Arabidopsis thaliana: one gene and its partners. The protein of the gene in region 2 interacts with the protein of the main gene of each other region in a pairwise test. Each region holds a gene or a part of one and is shown on either strand. Other genes may lie near its edges.

Region 1 (3,755 bases), on a different chromosome or scaffold from region 2:
CAACTGTTAAAACTTCTAAGTCTATATCTTAATTGATACTTTTTGACACTCTTGACTTCATATCGGCACAAGATCAGACAAGTCGTAGCGGAACAGAAAAGAGATTAGGATACAAACCTCGAGTTCTTTCTCCTGTAAGATTCACCACCACTGGGACCGCTGCTGAAGGCCCAGTCAACGCTAACATTCTGTGTTAGAAGCTCAGCACCATTCATTGCTGAAATAGCGCTCTGTGCTTCTTCCTTCTTCTCATATTCTATCAAAGCATATCCCTTATCAAAAAAAACAAAAGCAAAGTGTTACTTCCACTTCCATGAGAACTCAAGCAAACTAAAGAAAAATAATATTTGATTCCTAAACTCGCATCTAGAAGACAGCTTATCTTATTCGACCCGTCATTTCTGACACTTTGAAGTAACTTAAACGAAGTGTCCTTAGGGAACAGCATTGCACTTTACAGAATATTACATCTCCCTCTTAAAAGCAATGTAACATTGCAAAGATAAATTTATCATTTTTGGCTCTCAATTTCAGATATTCAGTATTACATTGATTAACACAAAGCATGTCAAAGAGTAAAGTCAACATCTACGACAAAACAGTATTGCATTCATCTCTAAATTACATCATGACAACAATCCAACAAATCAAGCTTCACTATAACAAACCAAAAGGCAAAATGATATCAACATAACTAAGCAAAAAAATTAGCTTCACAATAACTAACCAAAAGGCATAATGACATCAAGAGCCACTAAGAAACAAAGGCAAAACTCCATACCTTGACATAACCACTACGGCGATCGAGATTGAGATTTAGATTCTTAATCTCCCCAAAATCACCAAAAGCATTGGTTATATCCTCCTCCTGTGTCTCCTCATGAACTCCAGAGACCAAGATAATCCATCCTTCAACGGCTACACATAAACACACACAACAAACAAATTCATCCAAAACAGTCCCAATTCTTCATTACCCTCAAAGAAACTATGTTCTATCTTCACAGACTCTAGAACCATTACATTTTTTATAATGGTTACAAACTAAATCTAAACCAATCTAATTTTTTTCAAAAAACTTCTAGGTCAAATTGAATCCCAAACACAAGGGGTTATGAGAAACCCTAGAACAAATTACTACCACAAATAAATCAACAACGCGAAGAATCAGTATGCCAACACTAAAACCTAACTAAAAACAGCGAAAGAGGAAGAGATTTAGTGAAATTACATCTCTGCGGACCAGGACGGCCATCTGAACCAAGTGATTCGAAATCGCGTGAGGAAAGACGACGCTGACGATCGGAATCTTTCTCCTCGCGAAACCCACGGCCTTTGGTCTTCTTTGCTGATTCGCCATTAGCTCCGGCAATAGCCGACTTAAGCCTCGGATGTCCCGCGCGTGGAGAAACATCAGCTCCGTCAATAGCTGTACCTTCTTCGTCCATAAGGTCATCCTCCTCTGGCTCGAAATCGACTGCTTCTGATTCTATGTTCGCCATGACTTCCGCCGCCGTAAGATTTCCGATAGATCTCTTCCCGTTTCGCCGACTGATTTTTTGTTTCCTTTGTTTTTGGGGACGGAGCTCTTTCTTCTATCAAGATATTTCTCTGCCAGTGTTGTTTATAGGAATATATTGGACCTTAAGTGGGCTTATTTTGGGCTTTTACGCTTGTATTTCTTTCTCACGCTAGTTTTTCCTTTTCCCTTTTAAACAGGCTTTGATTAAACTCCTCTCGTCAATGTTAGTGGGCTTATTTTGGGCTCTTACTTTTTTTATTTATTCTTTCACGCTTCAGAGTAAGCTAAGCCTTTGATTTTTTAGGTTTCTTACAAAACAGGCTTAAGCCTTTGATGAAAACTTCTCTTGTTAATGTTACATTATCTGAATTTCATATGTCGAGAGTGAATCATGGCATACCTTTTTAAGCATTCATGATGTCAAATTATTGTATCACTTCATAATTAGGATACTATCAATCATATTGTGGTATTTAACACTTTACAGTCGATACTGGTCCATCTCTTTGATGGTGATCATCATTGTTTTATCCGTTTGCATACAATCATTATAGTCGAATATTGCTTTCTAATTCCCACTCTAATCTCAAATAAATCTCGTCCAACATGTTCGACCAAATTCTAAGAAAGAAAACATAGAGAGATGCAAAGCATTTAAAGAAAACAAATCTTAGTTCGTCGCCAATAATTACTTACGTCATTTAGAGGAGGGGAGAGCATTAATTTGGAAAACATTTATTGTCTGGTTCTGTTGACTAAAGTAGTACAAAACTCTGGTCAATTTACGACAACTATTTAACAACACACGTGTCCTTAAAGAAGCTATATCGACCGTTGATATAATATCTAAAGATAATCTTAACGGGTAGGATTTGGAAATGAAGTAACCGAAGACCGTACACTCGTTACAGTGTTGAGGAAAAATTAATGTCATGCGCGAGTTTTGGTGTGACGGGGAAAAGAACAGCTGCCTGACAAAATTTTGTTTTATGGGATGGGATAGGGTAATTGTTGTCGATGAGCCCTATACTAAAAATAGTAGACTTCACAGTTCAAGTGACCGTTTGTCTTTAGCTGGCCCGGTCATGAGAGTTAAGGGCAAAAAATATTTTACGGGCAGGTCCTAATATTTATAGAGTATACTTTTTCTTTACGGGCAGGTCCTAAGATTTATATAATCTATACATCACAATGCTAGTTTTCACTTAGCTATGTTCAGGGATAAGCCTGGCCCTTATTCATTTGGTTTTGTTTTTTGATAGAGTTTTTGACCTCATTTTTCCCCTTTTACTTGCAGGTTGTAACGCCAAAGAGTTTGGGAGAAAAAAAAAATTAAATCCACCAAACAGTTGTAATTATCAATTTTGTTGGAACCAAGTGATTCCCATTACTATAGGTGAAGAAACTAAAATCTTTATTAGTATAGAGTATAGAAAGTGGCAGACCAAGAATTTCTTTTTTTTTTTGGGGTCAAATAATTTAGTTAACTAAAAAATTACTTTATATAAATTATTTTAACTAAATAATTTAATTATCTCCAATAATCTTTTACTGCAAATATAAATTGTTCTTCTAACAAATCAATCTAATAAACAAAAAAACAAAAACGAAAACAATGTATTGAAAAAGCTACTTTATCCATGAAAAAGGGAATACATAGTGTTGATACCTACTAAAATCTGTTACTACAATCTTTTTAAAATCTGTTAATGCTCTTAATTTGCCAAAATAATCAGGTCAATATATATGATTTCTTTCCATTCTAATCTCGCTCTTTACGAAACTTGAATATCCCTAAAAATCGATAACAGTTTCAAAGAACAATAAAAACAAAAAAGGTTCGATTTTTAAAAAAAATTGTTTTTTTTGCTAAATGCTTTTTACAAAGACAAAATCATACAAAATTCTAAAAGAAACATACATTTATGATTTAACGCAAACCCAAAAAGAGCCTTCACCTTTTTTCTCTTCGTCTTCTTCACCATCTTGTGGGGAAAAACAAAACTTCTCCGGCCATGGATCCTGGCGACCCAACTTCAATAATCTTTTCAAAGATCAGAACTTTCGAACTTGAGAACGCTTCCAGAGTCATTGACTATTTTCTCTTGCAAGACATGGAACAAAGAGATTTGATTCGAATTGCTTTTGGTCCTGACTCTCTCATACAGACTTTCTGTCAGAAAGCTAAAGTCGATTTAGGTTTTTCCTCGAACGGTTTCTCGAGACCCATCAA
Region 2 (3,755 bases):
TGCAGGTGAGTACAGGTTGCAAGTACTCTAGCGCAGTGGACTTATATTGTTAATTTCTTTTAGAAATAAAGAAATACATATATTCACAAGATAGTATGAATTTTTGAGCAATTACAAGATTGCAAATCAAGTTCAGATAGCAGTGCTAGAAGCTTAATGTTAACAAGTTTGAGATACAGTTGCATGAGAACCACAATTACCTTTCGTTTAGTATTGCAGAAGATAACAGCTTGAGTGATAGTAAGCGTGTCATAAAGATCACAGAGTGTATCAAATTTCCACTCTTCCTTCTCAACAGCAACAAAAAATTGTTTGATTCCCTGAAAAGATTGTACACAAAAAGATAGCCAATGAAGAATATGAGTGTCAACCTACTGTAAAAGTAAACATGAACGAGCATACAGAAGCATAAGAAGAAACATACTTCAAGAGTCAACTCATCACGCTTCACAAGTATCTTCACTGGTTCTGTCATAAACTTGGATGTCATCTCCAAAATCTCGTGAGGAAGAGTTGCAGAAACCAAGCAAACCTACAAAAAAAACGTATTAGGATTGAACTATTATAGAGTGGAATTTAGCTGTTCATAATACAGATAATAGCTACCAAATCTACACATAAGACATTCAAGCAACTTAACAGTGGCTAAAAGGTTTTTAACAACTTATAATTCTCTCAATCCACATAGAGTTCAAGAAGCCAATCCATAAAATAAGAAAGCTAATGCAATAACATCCAAAGAAACTAGAAGTTAGCCAACACATAATATTGAGCAGTGAAATTGCACCTGAAGATCTGGTGGAAGATATCTGTAAACATCATAGATCTGGTCCTTGAACCCTCTGCTCAGCATTTCATCTGATTCATCAAGAATCAGAAGTTTAATAGCTCTGGTACGAAGACTTCTCCTCTTTATCATGTCACAGACACGACCAGGTGTCCCAGACACAACATGAACACCATGCTCCAGCTTCCTGATGTCTTCTCCAACACTATTCCCACCGATGCAAGCATGTGCCTGAATATTGGCATGTAATCCAATAGCTTGTATCGTCTTCTCTGTTTGTGTAGCCAGCTCTCTTGTTGGGGATAATATCAAGGCCTGAACCCTGCAGTCCGAGATACCAAATACATGAGTACACATATAAAAAGATCTTGCAGCCTAAAAGAAAGTATTACTCAATCACTCTAACCGAAAAGCTAATAACTATCACAAATTTTCATTGTCATTTTGATTGAACATTAATGAATCATAATTCGTTCATCTATTCTACAAGTCAGACAAACAAATCCCACCAAATTTGTGAAATCGATAAGAAACAAAACCTAATGATTTAGGTTAGAGAACAATCCGAGCAAAGCAAGTAAAGTTCAAAATTGAAATGAAGGGTTTAATCCAGCTAAAGGAACAGAAAACATACTCTCTAGAAGAAGTATCAACGACTTGACAAACGGAGAGAGCAATCATAGATGTCTTCCCGGTACCGGACTGAGCTTGAGCAATAACATCACGTCCTTGAAGAATCGGCATAACAGCCCTCTGCTGAATCGCGGAAGGCTTCTCGAATCCATATTCGTAGACACCGCGAAGCACATCTTCCTTAATGCCCATATCATTGAAGCTCGTGATGGGCTCAATTCCATCGGTAGTCTCGAAGACCAACTTATCGTCATCCATAGCTCCACCGCCTCTTCTACCACCTCCACGGCCAGGATTCGCTGTCGCCATAAATCTCCGTCTAGATTTTTGTTTTTATCTCTCCTAGGGTTTTCGATTGATTTCCCCCAAATGCTTATTTCCTCTCTACAGGTATAGGTTCGAGATAAGCGCGGCTTAAAAATAGGGGTACGATTGTAAATCCGACAACTTGTTAGGGCTTTTTTGTCAGGAAAATACCGACTCTTATATGTTTAGTGGGCCTTTATAGTTAGGCCCATATCCATAGGAAGGCAAGTAGCAATTTTGCGTCAAAACGACAACACTGCATCAACGAAGCTGAACTTCGAACCCAGCTTCAGCTTCAGAAGAAGAACCTACAGACTTTAGATCGGTCTTTATCTCTCTCTCCTCTGTCGGGATTTTCTCTCTCTTCTTCACCCTATCTCGTTCCTAATTACATCTCCTCTTTGCACCAAGCCTGATTCTTAGAGCTTGGGGGATGAATAGAACCAGTTTTGTTGTCCATCTCTGTTAAACGGTTCGTGTTTTGTAATAGTTATGGATGACAAAAGCTGAATATATCATCATTTCTATATCGATGCCTCATATTCGTTGTTACATTGGATTTTCCGTTATGCGTCATAATCGTTCATTTTAATTGATGTCTGTTCTTAATCAATTAATTCCCTGAAGTGTGTTGTTATTCCTCTAGTCGAAATAAATTGTATAGAATCTATGTTTCTTTCCGAGTTACTATAGTATGTTTTGCGTTGATATTGATCTCGTTTTTTTTTTTTTTTAATGGTGCAATTACATGTTGCAATGCATTTAGGTTGGATAGTACAAGAAATGGACCCTGAAAGTGATTCTAAATCAATGATCTCTGTTTTTTTTTTTGTAGTTATATTGGAAGAGAAGGGACTTTGTGATGTATACAAGGGCATTAAAGAGGAACCAGAGATGGGGTTTGGTATTGCAGCAAGCCAAGTACTTAGTTAGGCCAGTCGTTCGTGACTATACGGTTTCCAGATATTGTGGATTCACAAATAAATTAACCAATAGTGAAAATTTGACAAGAAAGTCTCTACTTGGTTCATTTTCTCCCCGCGGTGGTACTATTGCCTCGGGAAATCATTTAAGTATTTTGAAGAATAGCCAGTTGCGTAGTTTTAGTTCTGAGGGTGATGGAAGGAATGCTAGTGAGGATAAACATATCTCTTTGAACAAAGAGAATGGTGTAGATGATGGAAAAACCGGGAAGGAGAAAAGTAATAACGGTGTTGGGCATTTGGATTCTCATGCTCAACTTGGAGAACAAGACCAAATAGAATGGCTCAATAATGAGAAGCTTGCTAGTGAATGCAAAAAGAAGGAGTCACCTTTCGTTAATAGACGAGAAAGATTCAAAAACGAGTTCTTACGGAGAATCCAACCTTGGGAAAAAATACAGCTTTCTTGGGAGACCTTCCCTTACTACATCCAGTAATAATCTACAACATGTTTTTTTTTCTCGCTTGTTGTGTTTCTTTCTCCATTTCTGCTTATGGATTCTGCTCATTATCTTTTCACAGCGACCACACGAAAGATATTTTGGTGGAATGTGTTACCTCACATATAAGACAAAAGAATGCCGCTTCCATATATGGTGCCCGTTTAGATTCTTCAAGTGGAAGAATATTGCTCCAGAGTGTTCCAGGTTTGTTATTGACTATAGAATAAAAATGGCAGACCAGGATTTGATGTTGCTCTTCTGTTATCAAGTAAAAATATTGAGGAAATGTTAGATGACCAATAAGAAATTTGAATTTTATTCAGGTACTGAGCTTTACCGGGAGAGGTTGGTACGAGCACTTGCTCGAGATGTACAAGTTCCCCTGTTGGTTCTTGACAGCAGCGTTCTTGCCCCATATGTGAGATTCTTATGAGTAATTTGCCTATAACATGCCACCATTTTTCTTTCGTTCTTTTTGGTGTTTATGTAATATTTTTTAATTCTGGATCAGGATTTTGCTGATGACTACAATGAAGAATCTGAATCTGATGGTGAGAACGCAGAAGCGGAAGCAGATGAATCCACGACAGAGTCTGATGCTGA
Region 3 (3,523 bases), on a different chromosome or scaffold from region 2:
GACTCGTTTTCTAACAATAAATTATACACCATCCAATTGTCAATATATATGGCTTCGCGTTTATCTCTCTTAACCCAAAGCTGCTGTAACTAACTAACTAACCAGCTACTAATGTTTCCCCGACCATCTTAAAAGGTAACTAACTAACTAGCTGATGCTAGTTGGTGCCTGAGCAGGGGTGAGATCAAAGGAATAACGAGAGTGGTGATCCCTTTTCTGTGCACAAACACAAGCCAGTCCCCGCCCTAACCATGCACCTGATCCTGCCACAAGATGAAATATGCATGTGACTCTCTGCAACACACTACAACAAGGTAAAGGAGACTAGTGCGTGCTTAACCTGAGGATGAATGGCAGGTGCGTCCTCTGTCTAGGCTGTGAGTAATCCGCCTGACACTGACAAATGAATCCTCCATTGTTCTTCCCGATTCATAAAAAGCTACTCTTGATATCTTCAATGCAAAACCAGATTTACGGGTTTTGGAGGAGCAGTTTGAATGGTCCGAGGGCGTTTTTTTAGAATGGAAACAATCCTAATTATCGACTAATCCAGCTAGTTTTTGATACTTTGTATTTTAGATAGATCACATTCCTTAGTTTAAATTGGCTTGAGGGAAAAGAAACATGCATCATATGTAGATGTACATTAGGGAGAGTGAATGATTTGTGATAAGAAAACAGCAAGTATATGGTTTTTAGAAGATAGGTTGTGGTTCATGAAAGGTTCTTCACATGGGATGTTGACACAAAAAAGGACCAAAAGTTGAGGTAGAACATCTTACATACCCACTTTCACCCAAATCCAACAAAAAAAAAAAACAGAGAACCAGAGACATAAAAACAACCAAACTTCAGTCACAAAGTCCTCATGTTCCCAACAAATTCATCGCGTCTTGACATGTCACAAACTGATTTTCTTCTCTAGATAGGCTTGATTTTGAAGTGCAGAGAGATGAGCGAAAAAACAAGACATTTCAAGTCCTGCAACCATGAAAGTTTCAAAAGGAATATGTTAGAGCACAAATAAATACAGAAACTAAAAAAAAAAAAACTACAGAACCATGTAAGGGATGAGTGTTAACAGCCAAACCCTAAATGTTAAAGTTTGAGACAGTGAATACGTTAAAAGGCAGAGTCCTAAATATATAATCGAGTCCAATAGAGTTAAGGGATTAGGTAAAAGAAAAGATGGTAAGGCAAGGGGTGGAAGAAAAAGAGAGGAGACCTGAACAAGATAGTAGAAGATGCGAAGTCCTTCAGGATCATTACTGCTCTGGCAATCAACAAGAGATCCAATCTTAGATGTAGCGAATGAGATATGCTCATTACCCAAGACGATCTCGAGCTCTTGCTTTCCAACACGGTCAGGTTCCGGCCAATTGTTATCGTCTTCTTTCAGAATCTACCCGCAGACAAATAATCACATGTCAGGTTGTACAAAATCATCCATTATTCCTAGATAATAGCATTAACAACGAAGAGGGTTCTAAACCTACAACACTAGTCAGGAAAGATGCCCTAGATCGACAAAAATCGAAGCAAAATCACTAAAACCCTAATTGGCTATTATAGCGTCGATTGACCAAAACGCGGACAATTAACAAGAGAGAAGCAAATCGGAAGAGAGAGAGAAAAAGGACCTCGCTCTCGGAGACGATACGCTTGCATTCCTTGAGCACGGCGGGGGTGAGAAATACCTCCTTGCGGATAATAGTATCGTTCTTGTAGTTAGAGTTATTGGCGTAACGGAGCTTACCGTCCTCTCTAAACTCGAACTCCAGGAACTCGTGTCCAAATTTCCCTTTGTGACCGACATAGTATCTCAGGTAGAACTCCGTCGCTTCTTCCGCGGCCATGCCTTCTCTTTTTTTCTTTCTTTCTCGAGATCGAGATTACCTCTCCGTGTCCTTTGCCCTTCTTTAAGTCCGTCCCCGCAAAAGAAAAAAGGTAATGGGCTTACATATTGGGCCAGAACCCATTTGTAACCCGAAAAGTTAAGGCCCAGTTTTAGTTTTTCTGTTTCCATCGAAATTGTGTGTGTATCCGGGCTGCCTGATTTCCGATTCCCCGATACAGAGACGATGCCGACGGATTCGAAAATGGCCAAGTTTCTTCAATCCTATGGTAATTTCTTCGTTTCGTCTTCTTAGGCGGCCAGATGATCTCTTTTTCTTTTTTTATATAACTGAAACTTTCGATTGGTGGGAGCAGGATATGATTTGATTCTGGGATCTGTAGCTGCAATCTATGTGGTCATGGCACCATATACTAAGGTGGAAGAGAGCTTCAACGTTCAGGTAGGTTTTCAAAGTATTTAGAGTCACACTCTTTCTCCGTTTTACTGAAACCGTTTCACTCGTCTCAAGTCAATGCACGACATTCTTTACCATCGCCATCATTTGGACTCTGTGAGTGACCTCTCTTTTTACTTCTTCTCTGAAGCTTTACTCTTTTTTTTTTTATCTCTAGAGTGATGTCAATTTTTACCGACTTCTGTCTTTTTATTTTTTTCCTATCAGTATGATCATTTGGAGTTCCCCGGTGTTGTCCCTCGAACTTTTATTGGTAAGGAGGGCTGTTGAATTTCGCTCTCTGTTTTTGCATCACCTGTTGATGGTTTTTTTTTTATCATTATACATTAGTGGATGGTTTTTTTTTTATTCCACTCTGATTTGTTCTTGCAGGAGCCTTCATAGTCTCTGTTTTTGCATCACCTGTTGTATCAATTATCAGCTGCCTTGGCTTCCCCAAGGTTTATAGCCTTGTTGCAGGTTTCTCTTCTGTTTCTCCCTCCCTATATAATTCCTTAATGAATCGCTAACTATTTTCCCCTAAACACAGACAAAACCAATTCACATCATAGTTTTATCATTTTGTCTTGCAGCTCGTTTGGTGTTGGGCTGCATCATATTGTCCACACTAAGATTTTTCCGGATTCAGGTATGAAGTTCCTTTAGTGCTTCTTTCCATACCACACTTCTGACTCCCCTATCTGATTCTTTGTCCCTTCCCATGTCCTTGGAATTGGGATCTCTTACATGCATCTTGTTGGCTGTTTTTCTCCTATATACTGCCACTGACCAAAATCTACTGGTTTGTCAGATAAAAAAAAAGTTTGGAAATCAAGTGGAAACTTTCTTTGTACTTTTCACCAGTCTTCAGTTTCATTTTCTTTTCTACTGCACTCGTCCTCTTCCTAATATTCTAGCTTTGGGATTAGGTAATTACTTCTATTCATCTTACTCTACTAGTAGTGGTCCTTCAGATGTCCTAGCAATCTTTCCCATGACCCATCTAGCGTAGGCCTTACTAGGTTCTGCTTATGTTTTTAAATTTTGATTTTGCAGTCAATCTGGCATATGGTAATTGGTTAAAGGGAAATTTTTATCCAGCTTTGAGTTTCCTGGTATGTATTATCTTTGTGGTGACATATTTTCTCGATTATAGATTTAGAAAATCGGTCATGCTATCCAGAACTATGGGGTTTGCTGACATCTCTGTTATCCGATAATCAGATTTTTGC

The links.
Region 1: the proteins of EIF4A-III (region 2) and Y14 interact in a two-hybrid assay, tested with the Arabidopsis thaliana proteins (one study listed by BioGRID).
Region 3: the proteins of EIF4A-III (region 2) and MAGO interact in a two-hybrid assay, tested with the Arabidopsis thaliana proteins (one study listed by BioGRID).

Annotation. Positions count from the first base shown.
Region 1 is NC_003070.9:19,103,252-19,107,006, forward strand, and holds the start of Y14 (RNA-binding (RRM/RBD/RNP motifs) family protein), read right to left. Parts: upstream 1,683-3,755; 5' UTR 1,503-1,682; coding exon 1,232-1,502; intron 919-1,231; coding exon 782-918; intron 273-781; coding exon 118-272; intron 1-117. Other genes in the region: AT1G51520 (RNA-binding (RRM/RBD/RNP motifs) family protein), read left to right, coding at 3,538-3,755. UniProt on the Arabidopsis thaliana protein: Core component of the splicing-dependent multiprotein exon junction complex (EJC) deposited at splice junctions on mRNAs.
Region 2 is NC_003074.8:6,861,764-6,865,518, reverse strand, and holds the start of EIF4A-III (eukaryotic initiation factor 4A-III), read right to left. Parts: upstream 1,859-3,755; 5' UTR 1,730-1,858; coding exon 1,422-1,729; intron 1,110-1,421; coding exon 788-1,109; intron 533-787; coding exon 425-532; intron 321-424; coding exon 201-320; intron 1-200. Other genes in the region: AT3G19740 (P-loop containing nucleoside triphosphate hydrolases superfamily protein), read left to right, coding at 2,589-3,142, 3,232-3,356, 3,476-3,570, 3,664-3,755.
Region 3 is NC_003070.9:402,546-406,068, forward strand, and holds MAGO (mago nashi family protein), read right to left. Parts: upstream 1,912-3,523; 5' UTR 1,857-1,911; coding exon 1,641-1,856; intron 1,403-1,640; coding exon 1,226-1,402; intron 982-1,225; coding exon 922-981; 3' UTR 555-921; downstream 1-554. Other genes in the region: ALG12 (homolog of asparagine-linked glycosylation 12), read left to right, coding at 2,082-2,124, 2,212-2,297, 2,367-2,408, 2,520-2,565, 2,685-2,771, 2,885-2,940, 3,103-3,220, 3,348-3,406 and 1 more. UniProt on the Arabidopsis thaliana protein: Core component of the splicing-dependent multiprotein exon junction complex (EJC) deposited at splice junctions on mRNAs.